Linked DNA regions of Arabidopsis thaliana. Each later gene encodes a partner of the first gene's protein in a complex. Each region holds a gene or a part of one and is shown in the gene's direction. Other genes may lie near its edges.

Region 1 (4,607 bases):
ATTGACATTTTCAAATGTATATCACTAATTTTTATCTTAACCTGGTTTGAATAGTTGAAATTAATGGTTGAACTGTGATTCAAAACTTTTTTCAGTTTTGTGATTAATCCAGTTTTTTTTTTTTTTTTTTATGTAATATGTTATTAACATTTTGAAAAGTATATGGAACGACTTATTTGTTGGGCATAACAACTTAATAAAATAGCATATCTAATATTTCCTCTTAAAATGGAACGATTTAAAACAAAAACAAAAAAAATCTTCTCAAAACTCATTAGCTAATTGATTGATTGTAGTAATATAGAGAATCTTCAGCAAACCAAACTTTAGTTATTTACGGACCACATGATAATTATCATATCTATGAATGTTTTTAATTTATATATTCTTGCTACAACATCCGTTTCAAAAATTATAGCCTCAAAATAAACAAGAAAAACTTCACAGTTTATCTACCATCTTCGTGTATAAAAACAAAGAAATGAAGTAGAAAACCCTAGAATCTACACTCACATAATGGTCCACAAGGACCACAACGAATGAAAACAATTGAACACAAATTATAGTAAAGAATCATGGAATCTATGGAAAATTATCAGACCCTACATTAAGACACAACTATTTTCTTTATAAACCTTATGAATTTTTGTAGATACAGAACTTGATTCATTGTATATAATTATGCTATTTCCCTCAATTATCCATATGCATAATGCAATGCAAATGGGTAAGTAGTCAGTTAAACTAAGGGCTTGATTGGTTCTCCCTCTGCCACCCGCAAACGCAGCGTTTGCGGGTGGTAGCGGTTGTTAGCGATTGGCACCAATCATATAAACCGCTAGATATCGCTTTGGACCGCTCGAAATCGCCAGATTTCAAAAGCTCCTTCCCGCAAGCGTTTGCGGTTGCGGGCGGTAGCGGTTAGGTTAAAAAAAAAATTATTTTTATAATTAATTAAAATAATTATATTTTCCACCCAAACCCTATATATCTTATTCTTATTAGAAAACTCTAATAATTAATATATTGTAACTCTATTCTCTCAATTATGGCATCCACCCAAACGGATAAAAATTAAAATCAAAATCAATAATCAAAAGTAAGTATCATATATTCGTTCATCCATTCACGACCAGTTTGATTTTTTTTTGAGTTGGAGATGTGTTATAAATCGTTTGGATATCTTGAAGAAACTTTATTATATGTATAGAGGCAATCTGGAAAATCCGCGAGTTCAACGTTATTTACAGTTTATCACACTATTTGATGTAATTTTTGGTGATGTACCAAATGCATAAAGTATTAAGCTTTTTCTTGCAAAATTTATTTATTTTTGAATTTAATGTTTTATTTACGGTTTTAATTTTTAATTATATTTAATTTTTCTAATATTATGAATTTATCATAATAATATATTATATTTTTCTTTCTTTTAATAGTAATATATTATATTTATTTTGGTTTATTTTTGTTTAATTACTATCACACCCGCTGGTTTACCAGTCATAAAACTCCCGCAAACGCACCCATTATCAAACGTTCAACCAGTCGTTCAAAACGTTTGATAACGCTTGAAACTGCAACCGCCAGTTTCCGCAAACTTCCGCAACCATAACCGCACCCGCTGCATTTTAATCCGTCAGGCCCTAAAAAAATTAATCACTAGGCCGTTAATCCCTATCCGTAATACGAAACACTAGAGGGATAGAATAGTAAATCGCATCGTGACCGGTCATAAAAAGACACGTGTCGTCATCGCTATCCAAATAATTGACAAACTCGAAGCCGCCAAGGGATTGCCGAAGACACATGTCAGTCAGCGAAAGGAGGTTAAACGGTGTAGTTATCACTCCCTAATAAGGGTATCTACGTAATTGCAATGTCGTTAAGATCTATATAAACACTACTCTTTTGCTAGCTCTTATCCGACGGCAAAAGGAGAATTAAGATTTTTAACTTTAAACGAGAGTTTCGTTTATTTACTCAAAAATTTACTTCTGAAATCTCTATTTGAATTTCGGGGAAAAAAATCCTAAGTAAGGGAATGCAGAGAGATGGTCGGAGTATCGCCGGTGAAGACTAAGCTGTGTGATCGGTTTAACCGATCCGTCGGCGGCAGGAATTGCCACCGGAAACACGTCGAGGACGGGTGATCCAGTTTTCTAAACTCTCGTCTCTCGAATTCTTCGAAGATATCGAAAAACTGTAAATCTTTTTTTTCTTCTACTTTTTTACAAAATTCTCTAATCATCGTTGTAAAGTAAAAAACCATGGTCGGAGCAAAACCGGTGGAGAATGGATCTGACGGTGGTAGTAGTACGGGGCTGCTTCACGGCCGTTACGAGCTAGGGCGTCTTCTAGGTCACGGAACATTCGCGAAGGTGTACCACGCTCGTAACATACAAACCGGAAAAAGCGTGGCGATGAAAGTCGTCGGAAAAGAGAAAGTGGTGAAAGTTGGTATGGTTGATCAGATCAAACGAGAGATCTCTGTGATGAGGATGGTGAAACATCCAAACATCGTCGAGCTTCACGAAGTCATGGCGAGTAAATCCAAGATCTATTTCGCCATGGAGCTTGTACGAGGCGGTGAGTTATTCGCTAAGGTGGCTAAAGGAAGACTACGTGAAGACGTAGCTCGTGTTTATTTCCAGCAATTGATCTCAGCCGTTGATTTCTGTCATAGCCGTGGTGTTTATCACCGAGATCTGAAACCGGAGAATCTCTTGTTAGATGAAGAAGGTAATCTCAAGGTGACTGATTTTGGTCTCTCTGCTTTCACTGAGCATTTGAAACAAGACGGACTTCTTCATACAACTTGTGGAACTCCGGCTTATGTTGCGCCGGAGGTTATATTGAAGAAAGGATACGACGGAGCTAAGGCGGATCTGTGGTCTTGTGGTGTTATACTTTTTGTGCTTCTTGCTGGTTATTTGCCGTTTCAAGATGATAATCTTGTGAATATGTATAGGAAGATTTACAGAGGAGATTTCAAATGTCCTGGTTGGCTTTCTTCTGATGCTAGACGGCTTGTGACTAAGCTTCTTGATCCGAATCCGAATACGAGGATTACTATTGAGAAGGTTATGGATTCGCCTTGGTTCAAGAAACAAGCAACGAGATCAAGAAACGAACCAGTGGCTGCCACAATCACAACCACGGAAGAGGATGTTGATTTCTTGGTGCACAAGTCGAAGGAAGAGACGGAGACGTTAAACGCGTTTCATATAATCGCGTTATCGGAAGGGTTTGATTTGTCGCCGTTGTTTGAGGAGAAGAAGAAAGAGGAGAAAAGAGAGATGAGATTCGCGACGTCTCGGCCAGCGAGTAGCGTGATTTCGAGTTTGGAAGAAGCGGCGAGAGTTGGGAATAAGTTTGATGTGAGGAAGAGTGAGAGTAGAGTAAGGATTGAAGGTAAACAGAATGGTCGGAAAGGGAAATTGGCGGTGGAAGCGGAGATATTCGCGGTGGCTCCGTCGTTTGTTGTCGTGGAAGTGAAGAAAGATCATGGAGATACGCTTGAGTACAACAACTTCTGCAGTACTGCTCTTAGACCAGCTCTCAAGGACATTTTCTGGACCTCTACACCTGCTTGAATTTGATGAATTCTTGCGTGTTTCAAATTTTTATGTTGTAATATATATTGTTGGATTCTAGATTCGATTCGTGATTCTTGTTTTTGATTCTTAATGTGGTATCATAGTTTGGATCGTTCAAAAAGTTGTAAGTCTTTTGTGTGTGTTTGAGTCGTGGCCGATATGTTGCGTCACGAAGCAGAGAATGTTGTGTGTGGTGTAGAATGGTGTGTTAAAGATTCCATCATCAACAAATAATAATCATGACTCTTTTAAGAATGTTAAAGAGTCAATTTTTATGCATTCATTCTCATCAAATGTCTTTTTTTTTTTTTTTGCACGTCTCTTCTTACCTTGGATTGATTAGGACATCATCTTTGTTTATGCTGGTCCAATTTGTAGTGTCGTGTTGAATCATGTATATACTCTTCAAGATTCATGTGACTATTGTATTAACACAAGTACTTAAAAAAATTCTGCGTTTTTACTTTATTGAGTCGTTTAGCTTATGCGTTTTAAATTGGTAAGATGAGTAGTAGAATCATCAAGTTAATTCAGTCGCTAGCGATGATAGAGGGCTTGTGGAGTAAGTCGAGTTAGTAAAATCTGTCATATAACAATAGGGATATGATTAGCACAAATGTGACGACGATTGTATGATTAGTGATCAGAGTTTTTTTTTTTTTTTGAATAAAATGATCGTGACAAGTATTCATTGATTTGTTGATTATAAATAATAGTGGAGTAGATGGATTCAGATGAGTGAATAGAATATGAAAAGTAAAAGGAAGATGAGGTGGGCAGCAAAACAAAAGTAGAAGTTACGTGATTGGGATGGATGTTTCATGAACCCGATTAATATTATATTAGTATATATCTCTCTTTTTAATAGAATTCTTAGTATAATCATATCAAACATGTGATTCATTAACGGAGATGCAAACACCAACCCATGATCTGTAACATAAAAAACGAAAAATGAATAACCATCTTTTACTGCCACAACGTTGAAACTGTGAAGGGTTCTTTTGT
Region 2 (4,822 bases), on another chromosome or scaffold:
TTGTGAATTAATCAAAACCGCACTTCATCAACCAACCAACCAACCTCCAAAGAATTTGGGCTTCAGTACTAACGTCCTTTAAGGGTGTAACACATTACTGCTCTGCTCTTATTGCCGCAACTAATTTGACTCAATTTTAAGTACAAAATGGACCATTAAACTGTTGTCACTTGTCAGGACCACCGGCCCAAAATTAGTAGGGACCTTAGGACAGTTTGATATTAGTCTTTTAGTAAAAAAAAAGTTTTTTTTGTTTATCTATAAGAAAATACAATATTTTTTTAATAGATCTTAATTTTCTAAAATATCAACAGTCTATGTTTATTTTTGTGTCTGATTTAAAAAAAATTAGTTAGTTATCAAAACTTAAAACAAAAATATTAGGTCCAGGACTTTGGCATCTCCCACTTTCTTGAAAAACATGGATACTGTATGGACCTTCTTGTTTACTATTGTCATAATCTTTTTTCTCATAATCTTTTTACTATACTCATAATCTCTCCTCCTCATAATACATCTCCCACTTTCTTAACACCTCATAAGTCTTCTCATAATCTTTTTACTATCATAAAAGTTTCTGCTTGTATTGGAATGAAAGAATTTGACCATTTAATTTGGAATTCTAAACCCAATATAAAATTATAAACCACTCTTACTAGAGCCAGGATCCCAGTTTCAAATTTAATATACGTAACATGCATGATTTGGCCATGTCTTATGGATATGCTAATCCATTTCTTTTTTTTAGGCGAACATTATATAGTTTACATTATTGGATTGTTGGATGGCGTACGTACTTAATTAGTTTCAAAATTTGATAATATACATGATTAGATCATGTCTTATGGTTTATATAAAAGTAATTATGTTAATCCATAATTCTTATTTAGACCGCCTTTATACTATTGGATTTTTGTTTGTCCTACGTGATTGATTAGACTACTAAAATGTGACCAGAATTATTATAATTCTTCGTTTATCCCAAAAGGTATATGACCCATATTGAAATTATTATCAAACACACTCTACATGAATCTTGAATATATAGATAAATACAGTAATTAGTCCCCTTGCTAGTTGGGTTATCATATTAATATTTATTTATTGCAAGATCTTGAAGACTATGAGATCTTGACATCTGTATGGATTATGAAAATGAAAGATCCAATTTGAAAATTATATCTTATACAAATAAATATCATTCTTAGTATCTTTTGAGTATGTTAAATCTTGACTCTACAAGTACTAGTTACCTCTCTACACTTTTTTTTTCTTACAGTTATAAACTTACATAAAAACAAAATTCGAGTCTAAATATTTTTCTTTTAATAAAAAAACAAAAACAAAACAAAATCATTGCAGAATTGTAAGAAAACTTGTAAAAATGATTAACTTTCTTAACCAATAAAAAAGGAAAGTTGAAAGTTGAAATTTCGAAACTAAAATGTCAAACAACAATAATGGCTTTGTTTTCTTCCCACACTGTAATAAAAATAAAATAAAAATGGGGTTGGTAGAAAAAAAGAGGTAAAAATGACAAGGATGTGTTTCACACGCGTTCAGACCCTCACACGTGCGACGATCATGTTATAAACAAACTCTCTCATAATTTCCCCAATCGGAGGCCTCTGACGAACAAAAAAAGCCCAGCAAAGTCTGAAGTTAATCTCAGCCGTCCGATCAATTCATCTACCATCGTGGTCAGAGATCTTCTTCTTCGTCTCTCTCTCGTTTCTCAAAAATCAAAATCCCTTCCTCTCTCTCTCTCACCGAGCCGGCGAGCCCGTTCTCTCGGTGGTAAGTGCTCAATTTTTCGATTTCACCATTCAGTTTCTGGGTTCGGAGATTCTCGAGCCGCTCCTACATTACCTGTTTAATTTCCGATTTAATATTCAAAATTTTGTTAATCTGAATTCGATTGCCACATAGCTGCTGCTTATTTTTTCTAGGGTTTATACTTATTCAATTATCGTGTTCGTCTTTTAATTCAATTTTTGTTGGGTTTTGTTTTTGATTGAATCATTGTAGTTTTTAAAGATGCTTATGATGATGATGGGGAGTGAGTAATATCAGAAATCAAGCTTTTTCACAATCTCAGAAATTGTAGTAGAGTTTGGCGATTTTATCAACCTCCGGAACAAGCTTCTTCTTCTTCGTTTTACTCTTGTCATCCGTAAATGGGTTGTTTCCATTCCACGGCTGCCAGAGAATTTCCCGATCACGAAAACCCTGTGAAGCTTGCTTCTGAGACTGCTTGTAAGTTTACTTGCACTATACGTTTCGTTTTCTCTTCTTTGCTTTATTCTCAAAGAGCATGAGCATAAAGATCTCTCTTTTATCAATTGTTAACTGATATGAGAATCTGTTTTCGCCATTTATTGAATCCGAAAAATGGTTCTTTCATTCATAATCTATTTGATCTACAACTTTGTTAAATGATGCTTGTTGTTACTTAAGTCATCACATAAACCTATTTCAATAGTTTCTTGGATCATTAGTGTAGTTTACTTCTACTTTCAAATGGAATCTTAATCAGAGAAAGTTTTCAAGAACCATCACTTTCGATTTTTGTTTTGGTGATATACATGATGTTGATGAGAAATCTCGCAGTGTGGCTAATTATTTGTTTGTTTTTCTAGTTAGTGTTAGTGAAGTTGAAGCATTGTATGAATTGTTCAAGAGCATAAGCAGCTCGGTTGTTGACGATGGCTTGATAAACAAGGTAATGATAAATCTCATAGCCCTTTGATTATTTCGCACCTCATGGGAGAATCTTGAATGCGTGATGTACAGTGACATAATAATATTCATTGCACCATTATCCATATTCCGTATTATTTGTCAACTTTCTTGACTTTCACAAATTTATTATTGAATCTCCATGCTGAGCTGTGGGCTCCTTATTGCTCACCAAGTCTCTGTGTTGATGATAGTTGACTTGAATTTTAATTCCATTTTTTATATTGGTTTGCTTATAAAAATTGATGTTTTCTTGGCCCACTCTTGGATATTGTTACTTATTTTCTCGACCAACTTGTTATGCAGGAAGAGTTTCAACTTGCTTTGTTCAAGAACAGAAAGAAAGAAAATTTGTTTGCCAATAGGGTAAATTCTAAGTTTCTTTGGCCTTAGTAACTTTGTAGTTAGTCGTAACGATTAGTTCTATTATAAGTAGTTAATGGTAATGCTCTTTTTTCCAGATATTTGATTTATTTGATGTTAAACGAAAAGGCGTAATTGATTTTGGAGACTTTGTGAGATCACTCAATGTTTTCCATCCTAATGCTTCCCTAGAGGAGAAAACAGACTGTAAGTTGACCCATAAACGAGTTTATATCCATCGTCGTTTCTCTAAAGCCTTGCTGTACTTTTATTCATGTTATTCTGTATTTCATATATCAGTTACCTTTAGGCTTTACGACATGGACTGCACAGGCTTCATTGAGCGCCAAGAGGTAAACAATGGTCCTATATCTTCACATTCCATTCCCAAACAATCTATGTTTCAAAGACTTTCAGTATTATGGATTCTGCATCATCTATAAGTAATCATAATTGTGTATGCGTTTTTGGCAGGTGAAGCAGATGTTGATTGCACTTCTCTGCGAATCTGAAATGAAACTGGCTGATGATACAATAGAGATGATACTTGATCAGGTTTACTTGTTGTCTATTACAAGTTTGTTTTCTGTCAAAAGAAAGACTGTTTTATGAAACTCGAGTTTTTTTTTCTTTTCGTGAACAGACATTTGAGGACGCAGATGTGGATCGGGATGGAAAGATTGATAAGACAGAATGGAGCAATTTCGTTATCAAAAACCCATCTTTGCTTAAAATCATGACTCTTCCGTATCTCAGGTATGTCTCCTTACTATGATACTTCCATCTATTTGGCCAGTTTTGGTGCCATTTTCCAAGTTTGAGGACTTAAAAACTCAATTTTAGGGATATAACGACGACATTTCCGAGTTTCGTATTTAACTCGGAGGTGGACGAGATTGCGACGTGAAAGAGACAAGACAAGCTGGTTTATAGAGACCAAGTCGTAGGCTGGACCAAGAATAAAAAGAAGATTGATTCCAACAATGTTATATAGCAGGATCGAGCTCTATTTCCTTTGGAATTTTTAGTCTATTGGATTTCAATTTCATGTATTGCGATTACTTTTGGCTCTCTTTCTTTAACAGTTTTGAATACTCAAGTTGTAGTTCTACGAAAAGATTAATATAAAACCACAATTTCTGATTAAAGATTTGATTTTGCTCATAAATTATTCCAACACTTTATGTTTTATGTAACGAGAAATCAAAGTCAAATATGCTTAGACAGAAGAAATTAGCCATATAAATCAATTTATTATTATTAAGGGAATTGAAAACTTCAAAAATACCAAAATGAAACTAAAATTATAATCAAACCAGACCTGAATTTATTGTAACCGATAAATCCGAATTGACGTGTGTGGTGCCGGCTTTGAGATGAAGACAGACCAATGATGATCCCAGTAGCTAAAGAACTCAAGCGGATTCAGACATTCCATGCTGTGGAGTGATTCTCTCTAATCCCCCTGTACGGCGACGCTTTTACATATCCTCCATGTTCTTTGACTACAAAAGCCAAGTTTGAGGATCATTTAGTTGAAACTCAAGAGTTCAGACAAGAATCATTTGTATGAAACTCAAGAGTTGATACCAAAAAGAAATTTCTCACGGAAGATGACACTTCCCCTGGCACAATCTAGATGAGCGTGATAGTGGGACGTTGTCCATATCTAAAAAAAGAAAAATGGCATGGTATAGAGAATCCCGGAAATACGGAGAAG
Region 3 (5,622 bases), on another chromosome or scaffold:
GGAATCTGATGTCGAATGTTGTCTATTAGTCTCGTTTATGATTGAAAAGGACTTAGATTTTGAGTTTTGATTTGGTTTTGCAGGAGTGTTGTATATGTTTGGCAAAGTATAAAGACAAAGAAGAAGTAAGGAAGCTTCCATGTTCACATAAGTTTCACTCAAAGTGTGTAGATCAATGGCTTCGTATCATCTCTTGTTGTCCTCTCTGCAAACAAGATCTTCCAAGATGACAAAGCAAATACCCTAAAAGCAACAAAAGCTCAATATAATTTTTTTCTTTCTCAGTTTTTTTTTTTTTTAGTTTTGGATTGAAGCAAAGTCGATTACTTGTGTGAGTGTCAAATTTTTTGTACATAAAGAGCTCACCAGTAATCGTTATGTACATTGTGAGTAGATGATGCAAATCACAATGGCAACAACTTTATAGAATCTTAATATAGTGTTTATACTACATATTTTGTTTTTTCTCTCGTCTCATTTACATATCTTGATGTATATATTTTTTTATATGTTCAATTTTTTTTTTTGCAATTTAAAACTGAAAACCCAAACATTACTTCATTAACTATCAATTAGGATGTCGGTTTTCTTAAAAGAAATATTTTTATAGCATTAACTATATCTCATAAGTATAAAAGTTTTGGACATGGCATCTAAATAGTTGGAGTCTTTGAGATGGTTTTGACTTCAGCTATATAAGTAAGTCTTAGGGTGTTTAATTTAGAGTTTGAATTTTAAGCCTTTGAGTCTGTCAAAACCTAAAATAGGCACAAACCAAACAAAAACAATCAGATGTTTTTTTTTGGTTACAGAATCTTTAAATTAGACTGTTCTAGATTCTCAATTGGCACTAACACAACTAAGTATGTTCCTAATTGGTTGAAAAGTCATAATATTTGTCCTTGCACAAAATGTGTAAACCATAAAAAGAAGAATAAAACCTCCAAGTCAAATATTTTCTACTAATTTACAATAACTCTTTTCTAGAATACTAACCACCAATAACTTAAAAAAGCAGTTTGTCAACAACATCCAACGACTATTTTTAGCTGCCTTCTCTCACAAGTCACTATTATAAATGACCTTTTGGATTCATTAGCAAGAAACAACACAAATCATTCTTTACCTTCATAACAAAAGTCACTATAGAAATTACCTTTTGATTCATTAGCAAGAAACAACAACACAAATTCATTCTTATTTACGTTCGTCAAAACCATGACGAAAGAAAACCCTTCAACCCTAAATCTCGGACAACCTAAGGCACAAGAAAAGTATTCCACAAGTTTAGCCAAGATCAACCCTAAACCCTCCGGTAGCTCTACCGTTGAATCGAAGAGCCAAGACAATAACTCACCTAGTTTAAAACGTTGGAGATCGTCCTCCGGTAAATCTACGAGGCTAAATTGTTTATGTTCTCCGACGACACACGCCGGTTCTTTCAGGTGCAGGTATCACCGCGTTGATTCGTTGACACGTGCCGGGTCTATTGGGTCGAACCTCGCTGTTTTATTGTCGTCCAAGTCGAGCCGGTTTAGTGACTCCCTCAAGGCTCAGTAAACCCGGTTACTGGATTTGTTCGGTATAATAACTGTCGGTTTTGTTATTTGTTTGTTTCTTCTACTTCTTCTTTTGACATTGTTCAATAATTTTTATCGAAAAAGACATTGGTCTGTATTACTAAACCGCTTGAAATCGGCTTAACCCGATTCAAGGTAAACTTTTATCTAATTTTCACCAATTTGATTCAAATTTAAGCATTTATTACATACACATTTTATATGCTTCAAAAATACTTGAAATGAATTTTTCTGTCTACATTTTATATAAAGAAAATATAAAATAATTTTACGAAGTCAGAAATAATACGCAATATAATATATTTTTGCAAATTTATATATATTGTAAACGTTTTGATGATCACATTATTTTTAAAATTTCTGAAGATATAATTGAACTTATCATTTCGGGAGGTTCGATTTTATATGTTACTTGTCAAAAATTTAAAATTTGACAATAGAAAAAAATGGCTATATCACATATTATCTTTGATTTTGTATGATTATTTTGCATTTAACATCGTAAAAAATGTACTAATTTGAAGATTTTTTGAAAACTTAAATTCTCCAATAGCACAATAGATCATATATTCTATGGGTGAATGTGAAATTCAAATTTATGTCCGGTTCAATTCAGCTCGAGTTTTACTTAACCGGAACGAAAATCAAATCGAACCGTATTTTGAAGAATAAAACGACGACGATTTGAGCAGATTTTTCAGGATTTAATTTGTAATAATGCAAAAAGATTGAGTTTTTGTTGTTTGTTGAGATATTTAAAAAGATTCTTCAGGTTTTAATTTGTTTTCCAACTCTCTCCTCTGCTTTACAACAAATCGTCTCCGTCTTCCTCGCTCAGCTTCAACAACCAGAGCCGACTTGAGATTGAGAATCAACGTAATCGGTAAATTTTCGTATACGCAAATCCATTCTACTCATTTTGAGTTCACTTACATATCAAGATTCTTCTATCTCTGTTGAATCTGCGATTCACGAATCCATTAGGACGATTTTTGGGGATCTAGATCGGGTTTTGTTTCTCAGAACCTGTAATTGATTGTGTAATCCTTGAGTTCATTAATGTATAAATTCAAATTTCCCAATTTGGGTTTGTTTCTGATGGATTTTATTAATTTTGTGTGTCCATAAATTGTGATGTTTAAGATTAAAATTTGGTTAATGAGCTTTGATTAAGTCTTTAGATTCTCCATTAATTTTCTTATCTTCTTCAATATTGTATATATTATGTGGACATAACTGAATCATCTGAATAGTAAAATCATGATAATGACTTCAGTTTCTAAGCAATGTTTGTGTTGCCTATATTGACTGACTTATTTAGATTACTCTGAATTTTGCAACTTGTGTTACAGATACTCTCGCAAAGTCTCATCCTTTCTCAGCAAAAAACACTAGGAAATGGTTGAAAGGTACAGTGTTCTTCATATGCTTGCTTCTGTAGAGCTGTTTTTTGAAATTAGCAAAACAAGTTCACAATGTTTTATATGCAGGCATGGAGAGTTTTGATTTGCTGCTTAAGATATATCATGTCGCAGTGCGTTGACGGTATCAAGCATTTATGCACCTCTGTTTTAGGGTGTTTTGATCTTGATTTGTATAAACAATCTGGTGGCCTTGGAGATCCTGAATTGCTTGCAAGAGACACTGTTTGTATGCCCTATCACCTTCTCTACTCTTTTTTTTTTTTTTTTTTTCCGGTTATAAGATTCGATGCAATACCATTTGAGGAATGCAAAAATATTTCTTCTGAAGACTATTGATGATTGAATTTGGTTTTGGAATGCAGTTAGTGTGAGTGAAATAGAAGCTCTTTATGAGCTTTTTAAGAAAATCAGCAGTGCCGTGATTGATGATGGGCTAATAAACAAGGTATAACTCTAACTTGTTTGATCTTCTTCCTCATTTGGTAAAGCTTTAGTGATTGATCTAACAATCTGTCTAATTTACTCATCTCTTGTTTGTATCAGGAAGAGTTTCAGTTGGCTTTGTTTAAGACAAATAAAAAAGAGAGTTTGTTTGCAGATCGGGTAATGTTTCTTTCTTCACATTATAAGTGTTCTTAAACCCATTTTTGTCAAGATCAAGTTTAGAAGAAATGCTGAAATATGTGATTTTGTTTCTAGGTTTTCGATTTGTTTGATACAAAGCACAATGGAATACTGGGGTTTGAGGAATTTGCTCGTGCTCTCTCCGTCTTTCACCCAAATGCGCCTATAGATGACAAAATTCACTGTACGTCCCTTTTAGCTTGTATCTCAAAAACAAGATTGGGATAACACATTAATGATATATACTATTTTTTTGCAGTTTCATTTCAGCTATATGATCTTAAACAGCAAGGGTTTATCGAACGGCAAGAGGTAAAGCTTCCATATCTTCAAATAGCTTCATATATAACCTTGTAGAAGTGCGCTTTATTATCCTCACTGACATTTTCGTCCATCATTTGTCCAGGTGAAACAAATGGTTGTCGCTACGCTTGCTGAATCTGGAATGAATTTGAAGGATACTGTCATTGAGGATATAATCGACAAGGTAAGTTACTTACTTTTTTTCCTCTTCACCCTATATTTTTTCTTTGAAAGTAATTTCCCGAGTTTTGAATGTTTCAGACGTTTGAGGAAGCAGACACAAAACACGATGGAAAGATCGATAAGGAAGAGTGGAGAAGCCTTGTTCTTAGACATCCCAGCCTTCTGAAGAACATGACTCTTCAATATCTCAAGTGAGTTCCAAATCTTTCTATTTATATAACCAGGATTGAATCTATTCAACCAAATTCCTTCTCTGGTTTCTCTTTCTTCTATTCTCCATGATATGTAATAAAGGTCGTGATCCTGTTGTGTGCTTGCTCTGCAGGGATATCACGACTACGTTTCCAAGCTTTGTGTTCCATTCTCAGGTTGAAGATACCTGAAAAAGCAAAAGCAAAAGCAAGCAGCGGCAAGACATCATTGTATTGTTGAAGGTTGTTCTTTCGTTATGGTTCTTTATTTGTTACATTTCTAAATCTCTGAACTCATTTTATTTTTTATTGAGCTTTTTTTGTGAAGCAAAATTCTTCTTTTTAGTTTGGTTTTTGTCCTTTTTGATTTCGCTCGGTCTATCTGTAGATACAACTTTTGCATCTTGATGTTATGGTAATGTAAAGTTTTTCAGTTTATTTATTAATCCAATTAAAAAGATTTGCTTCAATCTCTGTGTTTTGGTTATTAGAGTTAGCTTTTAATATTAATTCAATGGATTTCTAGATTGCAAGCAAAACTAGTCATTTCATATGTGACTTGTAAGCAAAACTAGTCAAAACTGAGTGATGTCACCAGCCCTCCTAATGACGAGTTTTCCGAGATCAGCTCCACAAGAATCAACTTACATGATGACAAAAAGTGGATCTTCGATGAGACGCCATTAGAGAGAAGAGGAGATGATCTTACCAACAAGGGTATACGAAAGCAGAGCTTCGGGGGATGGTTGAGAAGCAGAGACATGAATAATGTTCTTCCAAAAAGAAGAAGAGGTGAGAAAAGGGAAAAAAAACCTAATTGAAGAATTAGCGATTTTCCCTCACCAAGAACCCTACATTAATACAAAAGGAAGTGACTTGCCAATCAAGTTTCCCATCCATTGTAGATGAGGGGAACATTGTGTTTGTAGTAAGGCAATGGAAGAATGACTCATTTATGCTTCAATGACTTCCATGTTCTTTCTTGAGGAGAAGGAAGACCATTCTTCTTGTTTTGCTACACAAGACTGAAATAAGAAACCTCTTCTAAAAGTTCTTCACGCTCCATGTAGACTATCTCTTTCTCCAAGGAGCGCTTTTCATTTAGAAAAAGCAACTTTTACTCTTCATCTTATCTTCGGCCATACTAGACGCAAACTCAACTTCAAGATCAAACAGTGCTTCTAAAGCCAACTCAACTCAATAGCCATACTTCATGCCGTCTCTTCAGCTTTTTTATCTTTCAAAGGAATATTTCATTAATATGATTTAGTTTTTATTTTATATACATCATTTTGACATATATATTTTTGAAAATTA

The links.
Region 2: SIP3 (region 1) and CBL9 share a complex: the UniProt entries of both Arabidopsis thaliana proteins name them as parts of the K(+)-channel calcium-sensing kinase/phosphatase complex.
Region 3: SIP3 (region 1) and CBL2 share a complex: the UniProt entries of both Arabidopsis thaliana proteins name them as parts of the K(+)-channel calcium-sensing kinase/phosphatase complex.

What each region holds. Positions count from the first base shown.
Region 1 is NC_003075.7:15,065,130-15,069,736, forward strand, and holds SIP3 (SOS3-interacting protein 3), read left to right. Parts: upstream 1-1,898; 5' UTR 1,899-2,270; coding exon 2,271-3,596; 3' UTR 3,597-4,054; downstream 4,055-4,607. Other genes in the region: AT4G30970 (uncharacterized protein), read right to left, coding at 4,137-4,181. UniProt on the Arabidopsis thaliana protein: CIPK serine-threonine protein kinases interact with CBL proteins. Binding of a CBL protein to the regulatory NAF domain of CIPK protein lead to the activation of the kinase in a calcium-dependent manner.
Region 2 is NC_003076.8:19,129,083-19,133,904, reverse strand, and holds CBL9 (calcineurin B-like protein 9), read left to right. Parts: upstream 1-1,600; 5' UTR 1,601-1,797; intron 1,798-2,028; 5' UTR 2,029-2,177; coding exon 2,178-2,256; intron 2,257-2,639; coding exon 2,640-2,722; intron 2,723-3,045; coding exon 3,046-3,105; intron 3,106-3,200; coding exon 3,201-3,309; intron 3,310-3,402; coding exon 3,403-3,455; intron 3,456-3,576; coding exon 3,577-3,657; coding exon of another isoform or gene 3,658-3,714; exon of another isoform or gene 3,715-3,745; coding exon 3,746-3,858; intron 3,859-3,945; coding exon 3,946-4,009; 3' UTR 4,010-4,265; downstream 4,266-4,822. UniProt on the Arabidopsis thaliana protein: Acts as a calcium sensor involved in abscisic acid (ABA) signaling and stress-induced ABA biosynthesis pathways. Contributes to the regulation of early stress-related CBF/DREB transcription factors.
Region 3 is NC_003076.8:22,669,083-22,674,704, forward strand, and holds CBL2 (calcineurin B-like protein 2), read left to right. Parts: upstream 1-2,030; 5' UTR 2,031-2,463; intron 2,464-2,932; 5' UTR 2,933-2,989; intron 2,990-3,070; 5' UTR 3,071-3,106; coding exon 3,107-3,230; intron 3,231-3,366; coding exon 3,367-3,449; intron 3,450-3,547; coding exon 3,548-3,607; intron 3,608-3,703; coding exon 3,704-3,812; intron 3,813-3,887; coding exon 3,888-3,940; intron 3,941-4,034; coding exon 4,035-4,115; intron 4,116-4,192; coding exon 4,193-4,305; intron 4,306-4,439; coding exon 4,440-4,497; 3' UTR 4,498-4,548; exon of another isoform or gene 4,549-4,773; intron 4,774-4,831; 3' UTR 4,832-5,018; downstream 5,019-5,622. Other genes in the region: AT5G55970 (RING/U-box superfamily protein), read left to right, coding at 84-230; AT5G55980 (serine-rich protein-like protein), read left to right, coding at 1,219-1,560. UniProt on the Arabidopsis thaliana protein: Acts as a calcium sensor. CBL proteins interact with CIPK serine-threonine protein kinases. Binding of a CBL protein to the regulatory NAF domain of a CIPK protein lead to the activation of the kinase in a calcium-dependent manner.